3 linked regions of the Drosophila melanogaster genome follow. The protein of the gene in region 1 interacts with the protein of each later gene in a pairwise test. Each region holds a gene or a part of one and is shown on either strand. Other genes may lie near its edges.

Evidence for each region.
Region 2: the proteins of mdlc (region 1) and Prosbeta4R1 interact in a two-hybrid assay, tested with the Drosophila melanogaster proteins (one large-scale study listed by BioGRID).
Region 3: the proteins of mdlc (region 1) and Hr3 interact in a two-hybrid assay, tested with the Drosophila melanogaster proteins (one large-scale study listed by BioGRID).

What each region holds. Positions count from the first base shown.
Region 1 is NT_033777.3:20,056,203-20,059,925, reverse strand, and holds mdlc (midlife crisis), read right to left. Parts: upstream 2,179-3,723; 5' UTR 2,073-2,178; coding exon 1,967-2,072; intron 1,909-1,966; coding exon 1,182-1,908; intron 1,115-1,181; coding exon 874-1,114; 3' UTR 635-873; downstream 1-634. Other genes in the region: CG4390 (uncharacterized protein), read left to right, coding at 231-359, 2,552-3,415.
Region 2 is NT_033779.5:2,651,198-2,654,465, forward strand, and holds Prosbeta4R1 (proteasome beta4 subunit-related 1), read left to right. Parts: upstream 1-1,848; 5' UTR 1,849-1,949; coding exon 1,950-2,040; intron 2,041-2,091; coding exon 2,092-2,648; 3' UTR 2,649-2,729; downstream 2,730-3,268. Other genes in the region: CG33125 (uncharacterized protein), read right to left, coding at 1-865, 926-1,094; Or23a (odorant receptor 23a), read left to right, coding at 2,946-3,268.
Region 3 is NT_033778.4:10,231,462-10,236,282, reverse strand, and holds the start of Hr3 (hormone receptor 3), read left to right. Parts: upstream 1-1,675; 5' UTR 1,676-2,070; coding exon of another isoform or gene 2,071-2,409; 5' UTR 2,410-2,971; coding exon of another isoform or gene 2,972-3,502; coding exon 3,503-4,259; intron 4,260-4,821. Other genes in the region: CG12912 (uncharacterized protein), read left to right, coding at 2,071-2,409. UniProt on the Drosophila melanogaster protein: Putative receptor whose ligand is not yet known.

The sequences.
Region 1 (3,723 bases):
CCAATTCCCCTACTTTCTGTGCCTGTGCTTTCTGATGCGAGCGAAACGGGAAATGAAAGTGCTGACAATTAAATTATGGCTATAAGATTGGGCCAAAATTTTGCCGCTTCAAGAAGGCAGTAGTTTCAGTTGCTTGCCAAGTTTAAATTTGGTCAAAGTTGGCCTTTGATCGTTTCAAACGTCAAGCAATACTCGATCGAAATCACAAAGTTATTGCAGCTCCCTTGGGAATGGGAAGAAATTTCCTTCGTCTGCCCAGTGTGAGTGGTAGAAGCTCATTCGTATATTCCATAGTCGCCTGTTCAAATCTTCCCAAGCGACGGAGCATTGTGCTCAGTTTTGGCCACATTATGACCGAGGTGAGTAAGGCTTTTAGGTCCTGCGGACTAAACATTAATATAAAATCCTCGTTGTGATTAATTTTATAAAATGCTTTTCACGATTAACTTTCCAGTCCCGTCCCTATGTATCAAATTTTAGTATGAATTATAAATAATAATGAATACATACATATATACGTGTTAAAACAACTTACAGATGAACTGCTGTGCATAATTTGTATGTTAACCAATCGTAATAGATCGCCCAAAAATAAGTAAAAATTTTAATAAATACCACAGAACTAGTATTTCTTGGTTGAAAACTTATCAAAATATATTTTTCTAGTTACAAGTAAGAATAGTGATTTATCAGCAATTCTCTTTGGGGCAAAGGGTTTTACAATTTCTTACACGCCACCTATCGGTGGTACAATCCTTACTTTACTTTCTACACTTATGCGGCAAATGTGCTGTAAAATGGATTTTATGTGAAGCATCTAATCAATGTCCCTATTTACTTTCACAACCTGTATAAATGATTTAAAAAAATATTTTAATCACTATCATCCGAAGAAATCTCCTGAGCTTCCTCCCCTGCTTCCGCTTTATCCTCCTTTTTCCCAAATTCCTCCTCCTCATCACTATCTGAGTTTTCCATTGGGTTTGTCTTGAGGCGAGCTATCAGCTCTTTGGCGGGATTGAAAATACCATTTGTTTGCTGGGAACAGATGATGCAGCGCTGTGACTTTTTGTACTGGGCCAAGGCGCACTTTTCACAGAAATAGTGCTTGCACCTGGAAGAAAGATAAATATGTTATTTATTCAGTAAATCCAGTTTAGAAATCGTTATCATCTTCATACTTTGTTACCACGGGATTGACAAAACTCTGTCGGCAGATGTGGCACTTGAAAGGCAGTGTTTCTTCATCGGAGTGAATCTCATACTTGGTATCATCGCCATCGGAGTCTACATCACCCGTTCGCTGATTTTCGTGATCCATTTCCAATTGCCAGCCCGCTTTGTAATCACTGCGATCGTGCAGAAACTTACAGCTGTCGCCAAAGCCGCAATATCCTGTTTCCTTGTAATCCTTGCATATATCCGGCTGATAATCCCACCTGACAGTGGCCCTAAGATGGGCAGGAGCCCTAATTGGGCCACTTCGTACCATTCCGGAGCTGGCATTCCCTGCCGCTGTATCCTGCTTCTTGTAGTACTGCGCATAGTTGTTAATTCCGCGATAGATCTTATCGTCCGCCTTGCCCTCCAGCTCTTCGTTGATTTTCAGAGCTCGCGCATGAATTGCCTGCGCATCGCGATCCAATTCTGTGTCCATTTCGTTAATCGATGTAGCTCCCTGATCTTGGGGTCCACTGGGCAGCGCCTCGCGTTTGGATTTGTACGCAATGCCCAGTTTATCATCGTCGGAGGCTGAGGATGAGCCATCATCACCAACTCCTCCCGCCTGTCTCTTTGCTTTGCTCATTGTCTTGGTGCTCTGGAAGTTGGGATTCGTGCGCTTTCGGCGGTTCTCGGCTCGCACCAGAGCACTGGCTTTGCCTTTGGTCTCTTCATCGCTGCTTTTTGCTGGAATATCAATAATATTTGCCCATTTACTTTGTTGGCGGTAAAATTAAGTTCCTACCAGATTCATCACTGCTGGTTTCCTTTTTGCGACGAATTCCAGCTCCCTTCTTGAGGTTCCGCTTCTTGAAGCCAAAGGACGAGGTGCTAGCCGCTTCTTCCGACATTCTCCGGCTTTTAAATTTATGTACTTATCTAGTAATTCACGTTAACAACAATTAACAATAGCAATTTCGCCAACTGGCGCTTCTTCTTCCCGGCTAGTGATGGTACTTGCGTAACAATCGTTATGGAGTTAGTATTTTTGTATGAAACGGGCACATTAAAATTCAATGTTTACTTATGAGGAATATATTCGTTTGTAATAATTGCAATTTTTACATATTTAATACATCATCAATATGTAATAATTAATAGATTTATATTAATTTAAAGAATTCTAGAAAATATTAACTCCTATGGGATCTACCCTTTTAATCATCGATACCAAGATGTTCTGAAAGCTTCCCACTTTTGGCGCTCTACACGCGGTCACACTGTTTTCTTATCGCTTGTTATTTTTAGATCGTCAAAAAACAAGTGCGTTTTTAAAAATTAATGGATTTCAGTTTTAGCTTACAAATTATTTACTCCGTTTCACCCCCAGAACATGACGCTCGAACAGCTGTCCGCAAATAAGTGCTTCGAGGGCGAGCAACGCGTGTATCGCCATCGCTCGGACACCTTGAAGTGCGACATGACCTTTGGCGTCTTCCTGCCGCCGGCCGCTTTGGAGGGTAAACCGTGTCCGGTGCTGTTCTTCCTCAGCGGACTGACCTGCACGCATGAGAACTTCATCCAGAAGAGCGGATTCCAGCAGCACGCCGCCCGCCACAACCTGATCGTCGTCAATCCGGACACTTCGCCCAGGGGCGTGGAAATTGCCGGCCAAGATGATGCATACGACTTTGGAAGCGGGGCTGGATTCTATGTGGATGCAAAGGAGGAGCCGTGGTCGAAGCACTACAAGATGTACAGCTATGTGACCCAGGAGCTGGTGGATGTGGTCAATGCCAATCTGCCCGTGGTTCCCGGTAAACGCGGTATATTCGGCCACAGTATGGGCGGCCACGGAGCCCTGATCTGCGCGCTTAAGAATCCCGGGCTGTACCAGTCGGTGTCCGCTTTTGCGCCGATTGCCAATCCCACCGAGTGCCCGTGGGGCAAGAAGGCCTTTGCCGGCTATCTGGGCTCCAATCCGGATGACTGGGCCCTGTGGGATGCCACGCATCTGGTGTCGCAGTACGAGAGCACTCCGCAGGAGCTCTTCATCGACCAAGGTGCAGCAGACAACTTCCTGGCCGGCAAGCAGCTGCTGCCGGAGAACCTGCTGGCTGCCGCAGATGGCAATGATCACATCCAGACCATCTTCAAGCAGCGCGAGGGATACGATCACAGCTACTTCTACATCGCCACGTTCGTCGCCGAACACATCGCCTACCATGCCGCCCTGCTCACAGCTTCCGCTTGATGATATTCCGCTTGTACATAATCGTTGGTTTCCACCGAAACCATAATTCAACGTAAATTTGGCAGTAAATAAACCAATTTCGACTGAGCTTCTAAAATGTATTCTTACATTCTTGACTTTAAACTTTGAACTTGGACTTTGAAAAACAAATATTTTTATTCATTCTAGGTGCCAATGTACAGAAGATTATACACAAATGGCGTGTACTTTGTTATTTCGGTTTTAAGTTCAGCAATTTCCTTTCACAAACAAAAACTTAAGTAATGGGTATTCAGCATTCGTCGAATTCCTAAGGACTTTTTCCCGGA
Region 2 (3,268 bases), on another chromosome or scaffold:
TACTTAGGTTGAGGTTTCGGAAATGGTACCGGTGGGGCTTTACTACTTTGTTTATAATCTGGATATTCGTAGTCATGGAATTCTTCATATGGGTTTTGATAGGCTTCAGCCGTCGGTTCCTCATAATAATCTCTGTATTTTTTGTAATTTTCAGGATAACCGTCATAGTCATTGTCACTCCCATATTCCGTTGAGTCATGTGGGTAACAATTTGAGGCATAGTTGGGTGGTAAAGATCCTGAGGCCTGCCTACAATTGTGTTTCATCCTATAGGAACTAGATCGTAACTGACGCGGAACAGCTCGTCTGAAGTCTCGATGGTAATCATCTTGAGCTGGGTGCTCAGGGAAGGGATATCTATTGTATCTCTTAGATTCTCTGTGGTGTCTATTTGTTGACCTTGAACCATGGGGGTAGTAGTCATATCTGCCATCCGCGTATTCTTTGTTAGCTCTTGGATCTTCCTGTTGTTTTGTATAATCAGAGGTTGAGAGGACTCTACGGGGTTCATCTTCCTCTAATTCATAAGGTTCATCATCTGGGTAAAAGTTATCAAACGTCTTCCCAGTCTCAAAGTCTGGATAGTGGATCCTTTTACTCTCATAGTAACCCGTAGAATCGGCCGATGGAGATGGGGAAACTAAACCTATTGCGGCACGACTTCGTCCGGATTTAATTGGTCTATGATAAAAATGACGACGTCTGTCGGAATAGGCAAAGTTATCTCTTCGCCGGCCAGAAGTTCGTGGCGTATAATTCCCATGATCAAAATTTGAATGTTCGCGAGCATAGAATTTATTGGCTGCTACAAATGACATCACACTCTCCGTAATTGGATTGGCCAATCCTCCGCCGGGAGCTCGTCCTAGATTTGCGTATATATTCGGGTTAGCGGACGATTGCCAAATGTCGTTAATCAACTCACGCTTTCCATTGCAAACGGAGGACCGTGGCTGCGAAATCTTGTTTTGGTGGTCACGGCACACTCCGCTCGAAATATCTACATTGAAGAACATTAATGTCCGATTCCATTCATCGTCGTCCTTGGAGCTCTCCAATCGGATTAAGCTCTGATTCGTCAGCGTAAATGACATTTTCAGCAGCCACGGAACTCATGCTCCCCAGAGTCGTCATCAAATTGAACTGCAAATTTAATTCATACCGAATGTTTGTTTATGTCACTGTGTCCGATTTTTTGATACTCTTTTCAAATGTTTAAATGGCAAAACAAAACAATAGGATACAGTTGAGGATCAGATCTTAAAATCAAGGTAAACACTGCGTCCTACGACCCATTTTATTATTCCAGCGAATTCCATTAACTTTCGCTTCCTTCGCTGTTGGCAGTTCTCGCATTTAATTGCAGTATAAATGTCTGAAATGGCAAACACAAAGGATGTGCGAACCGGGATGGAAATCTGGATGAGGATGGAATGGTCGTCATTACTTGAAGGGTGCTAGAAAATATGTTTTTAATTGCGGAAATATTTCCATTTCACAAATAGATGCAATAATTATTCAGAATGGCGCGAATTTCCATCACATTAAAAGTGCAGACAATGGGGGATAGTAAAATGCAGCTAGCGGATAATGAAAATCGTGTTCAAGTGCGGAAATGCTGAAAATTATTTCAATGAAACACAACTAAGTGCTTTTTAAGTGCCCCCAACGGTGGCACAAACCGAACGGAAATGGACGCAGACGAGAATTGGTTGGGTGTTTGGTCGAGGGGGTGGACTTGTTGACAGGACACGCAGGACTCTTACGGCCCCCGAACTTCGCAAAGTCGCGCTGAGAAGCGACAAATGCGTGGTCTAATATGGAAGGAAAGTGAGTGAGTTATTACTTATGTTCTGGCATCTGAATGTTTATCGGTCACCAAAAGACAGAAGTAACTGAGAAGGCTTTCGAAACCCGACTAAAATTTACTGAATCAAACATTACCTAAAATGGAAACCATTTTGGGTGTTAAAGGAACTGATTTCATCATACTGGCCTCGGATACCATGAGGAACAAGTCGGCGATGTGGCTGGATGACGGTAAGTAGGCCTTTGATAAGGAGGATAGTAATAATTTATAAATGAGTGTAGAGGTCAGAAAGACTCACCGCATCTCGGACTACTGCATGATGTCGACCGCTGGGGACGGTGGAGACTGCCTGAAGTTCTCGGATTTCATCCTCCGGAACATGGATCTTTACAAGATAACCAACGGATACGACTTAACCGTTCGCGGAGCGGTGCACTTCATCCGGAGGCATTTGTCCGCCTATTTGAAGAGCGATTGCACGTTCCAGGTGTCGCTGTTGGTGGGCGGATACGATTTGACCAGCGGTCCCGAGTTGCACTACATCGATTATTTGGGTAACTCGGTTCCCGTTCGGTACGGTGGCCACGGAGCCGCCATGAACTTCTGCACTCCCATTCTCGAGGAGTTCTACAAACCGGACATGGATACGCAGGCAGCCTATGATGTTATCAAAAAGTGTGTGATTGAGCTGTATAAACGATTCGTTATCAACTTGCGCAACATAGATTTGTTCCTGATAAGCAAAAATGGCATAACAAAGATGAATAGCATCAACCTGGAGTCCCTTAGAGGGGATATCTTAGCTGGTCCCAAGCGAAGGATATTAAACACAAAATAATAATCGAAGCCCTTTATATTTTTTGTAGCTTATCAAAGATTCATAAAATTTGAATGAAAATAATTTAATATAAAGCTCTGTATTAAGTGATATATAGATACTCCTTTGCTGAATGGCACTCAAAGGGTGTGCATTTTCCCAAGTTTTGGGAAAATTATATGCGACCCCTCGATAATGATTTAATTTGCGATTTAATAACCCCTGACTAATGGCGCAACTGACACAGAAAGGTGATATAAATGGTCGAGGTCCTTTTGAAAGTATGCCAGTGAAAAAGAAAGACACCAAGAATTCAAAATGAAGCTCAGCGAAACCCTAAAAATCGACTATTTTCGAGTCCAGTTGAATGCCTGGCGAATTTGTGGTGCCTTGGATCTCAGCGAGGGTAGGTACTGGAGTTGGTCGATGCTATTGTGCATCTTGGTGTACCTGCCGACACCCATGCTACTGAGAGGAGTATACAGTTTCGAAGATCCGGTGGAAAATAATTTCAGCTTGAGCCTGACGGTCACTTCGCTGTCCAATCTCATGAAGTTCTGCATGTACGTGGCCCAACTAACAAAGATGGTCGAGGTCCAGAGTCTTATTGGTCAGCTGGATGCCCGGGTTTCTGGCGAGAG
Region 3 (4,821 bases), on another chromosome or scaffold:
CCGAGGCAACGGTACTAACGTGTTTGCTGTTTCTGCTGCTATTGTGGCTATACGCTGGCTTCTTTTTGATTCTGTTCTGTTCTTTGCTTTTCTCCGTCTCCATTTTCTTGGCAATCAGCTCTCTGAGCCAGTTGCGTGTAACAGGTTTTTCCTCTTGAATAACTGGGACTTTCTTACGGGACTTTTTCGGAGAGTTTCTGCAGAGAAAACAGGTTAGAATCGGCACAGACTTGCAATAGATGATGAGGCAACAGCCGCCGCAAGAAGTTTACAACGGTGAGGCACACATTTCGCGTTCACGTTAGAACCAACGGTGTTTTAGCCAAGTTTAGCTGCAAGCTGCTAGTAAGCTGGTTGGCAGAACCACCAACCAGTTACCAGTTACCAGTTAGCTCTTGATTGTTGTTGCGCAAGCGGCAGCTGAATGCGGCGCAGAATAAATCTAACATGATTTAAGCAACGGAAAAACATGAAATATTAATGCCGATGCTTGAGTCTTGGCTCCGAATCAGAATCCGAATCCGTCCTAACGGTGGTCGCTCCGTTCGCCATCATCGACCCTCCTCTATAAGAAGTTTGGCCCTATGCCACCCAATTCCCCCACTCCCCTCCCCGCCCTAATGATGGCTCGATCCGATCGGTTGGGCTGGGGCCCAGTTGGGCGATTAGTTCAAATTTGCCCCGTCTGTTGGCCAATGGCCGAGATGTTCTCGGTTCGCCCCTTTTTTTGGGCATTCTTGACTCGAGGGTCATTGTGGTCATAGCTGTTCTTTGATTGGTTTTTGCCCAAATTGGCATTGGCAGCTTTAATTAGCGAGCTTAACATTTTAGTGCATTCTTGTAGTTTTGAGAGCACTAAAAATGCGCATTTTATGACTCATTTAAAAATATATATGTGCCAATGTTCATACTATTTATGACACTTTAAAGCTTTTTATATACATACTATATAATTATAAATACATGTATATTATCTTTACACAGCTTGTAGTAGACAAGACTTCGTATATATAATGACTTACTACTGCATCTATAGTTTATCCGTGTTCTACAAATTTGGTTTATAAACGAGGGGTTAACCATGAATTACATATCTTATGCACTATTTAAATGCATAACAAAAGAAAATATTTGTTTACCAAATATGTTTCTTTTTAAACATGTATATATAAAAATATATATCATAGTTGATTTTTTATTAACTAATTTTATGAATTTTTACAAATATTATAAATGGCAGTTTCAGTTGTTAGTTGAGTAAATGTCGAAAGTCAAGCCCAGAAGACTCATTCAAAATTTTCCGCCCTTGGAATTTCCACCTCGAGCGTGCAGAAATTTCCCATGACGCTTTATCACCACGACGGGAATTTTCCTGGCCCTTAGCCCGCCCCCGCCCCCACTGAGAGTTTTAGGGGTGGAAAAGCTGCGCAACAAACGTTCGTTCGACTGTGCTCGTTTTCCTTCGTGTTGTGGCTTCCAGTTTTTCCTGGCTATGCACTTGGCATTATGCCTACTAACCCTATTTTCGCAGCAGTTCGCAGCGAGTCCCATTTTTCAACTTGCATGCGGATACACACGCACACACACACTCGGATTTTCCTTTTCCCAGAAACTGAGGCGCAACCCCCACGAAACGGAAAGTTTGTGCAGCGGCAGAACGAACTGTGTTTGTGGCACTCGAATTTGGGACACATTCCTGTAAAGGACGCAGCTCCGGTCAGCTGCTTCGCAAAATCGACAAAAAGGAGTCACAAAAAAACGCGCGCGGTGCATTTAGCCACAAATCTCTGAAAGTGAAAATACAAATATTGAAACAGTGAAATCCACAAACCAGCCAAAAGTGAAACAAAATTGAACACAGTGCTTAATTAATATCGAAGCTAAAGGGATAGAAATCCGATTAGGAAAAGGGAAAGCTGCAGCGCTGCTCCTGTTTGCCAAATATTGATTCGCAAGTGTGCCGCTGAAAAATCGATTATTAAAGCCACTTTCCACACAGCTGGTGGTTGTTGTTGCCGTGAGGATGGAGGTGGTGCTTGGGGTGGTGGTTGCATAGGGTTGCGTGCCGCGATGTGGGAAATCAACAGCAACATTGGCACATCCACATCCAGATCCAGAGGCACACTTCCAACTGTTTTGACGTGGTCGGGTTCCAATGGCGCTGACACTACCGAATGCTGCAGCGCAGCCTTGCAGCCATCCAGCGGCGACGCGTTGCATGTGCAGCAGCAACAGCAACAGCAGCAGCAACATCAGCAGCAGCAGCAGCAGCAACAGCAACAGCAGCAACAACAGCAGCAGCAGCAGGATACGAAAACGAGGATGACAACGACCACAGGCAAACGCGGAGGACACAGATACAGAAGCAGGCTCAGTCACCGAAGCACAGCAACAATTGCTGCATATTAGGCAGTAAAGTAAAGTTAAACACAACCCAAAACCGAAAAGACTAGCCCAAAATTTACTCAAAAACCAACACAAGTGGAAAGCATTAATCGGAATGTCGAACTCTATGCATCGCACAAAGTTACGTTAAGTATACGACGCGTATTTCCAGCTGCAAAACGAACCAAAAACGAACCGAACGAAACGAAACGCACAGGTGCATCTGCAGACCCCACTACGCCCCTAAAAGCCCACTCCCCCCCCTTTTCGAACCCTCAGCCCCTCATTAGGCCACCCCCTCTGGGGTATCTACACCAATTGACAAGCAATCGAGGCAATGCAGTATGAATGAACTTGTTTAGTCGACAATTTTTTAAGTGCACTTTCGTAAGGCTGATTTTCAATTTATTTCGATGTTGTGCTTCTACACCCAAAAAAAAAACCAAATATAACAAGTAACAAATACAAGCATAAAAGAACCCAAGAAATTCAAGCAATGAACCAAGTGAAAGTGTGAGTGTTTAGTGTTTTAAGCGAAGGCGAAATCCGGACATTTGAGAGCCTTTGTGAGTAAACGGCCGCCACAACGGATAGGCCCAGAGATCTCCTGCTGATACAGCAGGCCAAGCCCGCCGGCGGCAGCAAATCCTCCAGCGGTGGTCCAACGTATATCGGCACCGATGCCGCCACAGCAGCGGCGGTGGCCAATCTGCGCAGCAAGGTGCCCTCCATCTCAATAATCCCGCTGCCCGTCTCGACCACCATTGTGGCACGCAGTGGTAGCGGTGCCTCTGGCACTGGCGGCAGTGGAGGAGCACCGCCAGCACTGCCCCAGCTGATCCAGTCGTCGCGGAGTGTGTCCACCAAATCCACGGGCACGTCTCCACCATTGGCCTTTATAACGGAAGGTTCTGGAACATCGGGTGCTCCCGCCCTGACACTGCTGCCACGACCCCAGCAGCAGCACCAGTACCAGCAGACCGACAAGTGCACGGTCCTCAAACTGGACGTACTGAAGCAGCAGTCGGGTGTGGCAGCCAACTCCAGCAGTAATACCTACCTGCAGATCGAGCAGCAGCTCAGCGAACTGGAGGCCGCCGACGAGGAGGAGGAGAACATGGCCAGTTTGCTGGGCAGTGCGCCACCCGCCCAAATCCTGGCCAACCAGCCCATCATCGTCAAGATCGAGCCCACGCAATCCTTCCACATCGTGGACGAGGGCGACACGAGAGTACTGAGCTTGCCCCTCAGCGATGCTGATAAGCTGGGCGCCAGTTGGATAGATCTCAAGGATATTGCCGGCCTACAGGCCGGTGGCGGAGCCACCTTGCTGGACGTCTGCTTCGAGCAGGCCAACGAGGACGGCACCATCATAGCCACCGTGCAGCCGGACTTGGAAAACGAGCTCGAGGCTGAGCTAAAGGCGGAGGGCGAGCCCGAGGATGAGACTGAACCAGAGCCTCCGGCGCCCAAGAGATTGGCGACCACCAGGCCAGCACAGTCGCGGCCACAACAGCAGCAGCAACAGCAGCAGCAGCAGGTGAAATTCCTATCGGATCCACCGGCATTGGCACGCTCCAGCAGCTTCAGCAGTCTCAGCAGCTTTAGCAGCATCAGCAATATCAGTTCCGTGTGCAAGAACATGGCCAGCAATACCAGCCAGGAGGGCTCCCTAAAACGCACAAAGGAGCGAACTCCTCCACCAATGCCACCGCTCACGACTCACAAGCCCGCTGCCACAACAACAGCAACATCAGCAACATCTGCAGCCGCAGCAACATCAGCAGCAACAGCAAGTGCAACAGCAACATCGGCCAGAGAAAACAGCAGAGAGCACAGCAGCAGCAGCAGCGGCAGTAATGGAGCCATGACAGGTATGTTCCAGTGCAACTCTCAATTATATTTTAGTCAATTTGGGAATATATATACTGTTCGAGACGATAATATATCTACCAATAATATATCTTCATATGCAAAAGCAATGTTCTTCGTCACTCTTGCTCTTAACAAACGTTAAAGAATTTTACTAAGCCATTGTGAGTGATTGTAGCAAATATTTGAAAGACCTTAAGTCAAGGATTCCCGCGAGTGATGAGTTCGCACCCCAGAAAACTCGGCAAGAATTCCACTTGTTGCGAACAACCGCCGGCTAACCACAGCACAGTGAGCACTCGCCCAGAGCGACCACCAACGATCAGCGATGGTTCAGATAATCGCACCCATATCCCCCAGATCCCCTCCCCCTTCCCCCTTCCCCATTCCACGCCAGAATCCGAGCTATGCAAATGAACGCTCGCCCATTGCGCAAGCATCCCAGGCAGCGGCAATTAACAGGCTGACACATCAGCAACACATCAGCAGTAGCGGCAGCAACACTAGCAGCAGCAACTGCAACAACAGGTGCACTGGGTGTACATTGCACGGTGTACACACCCC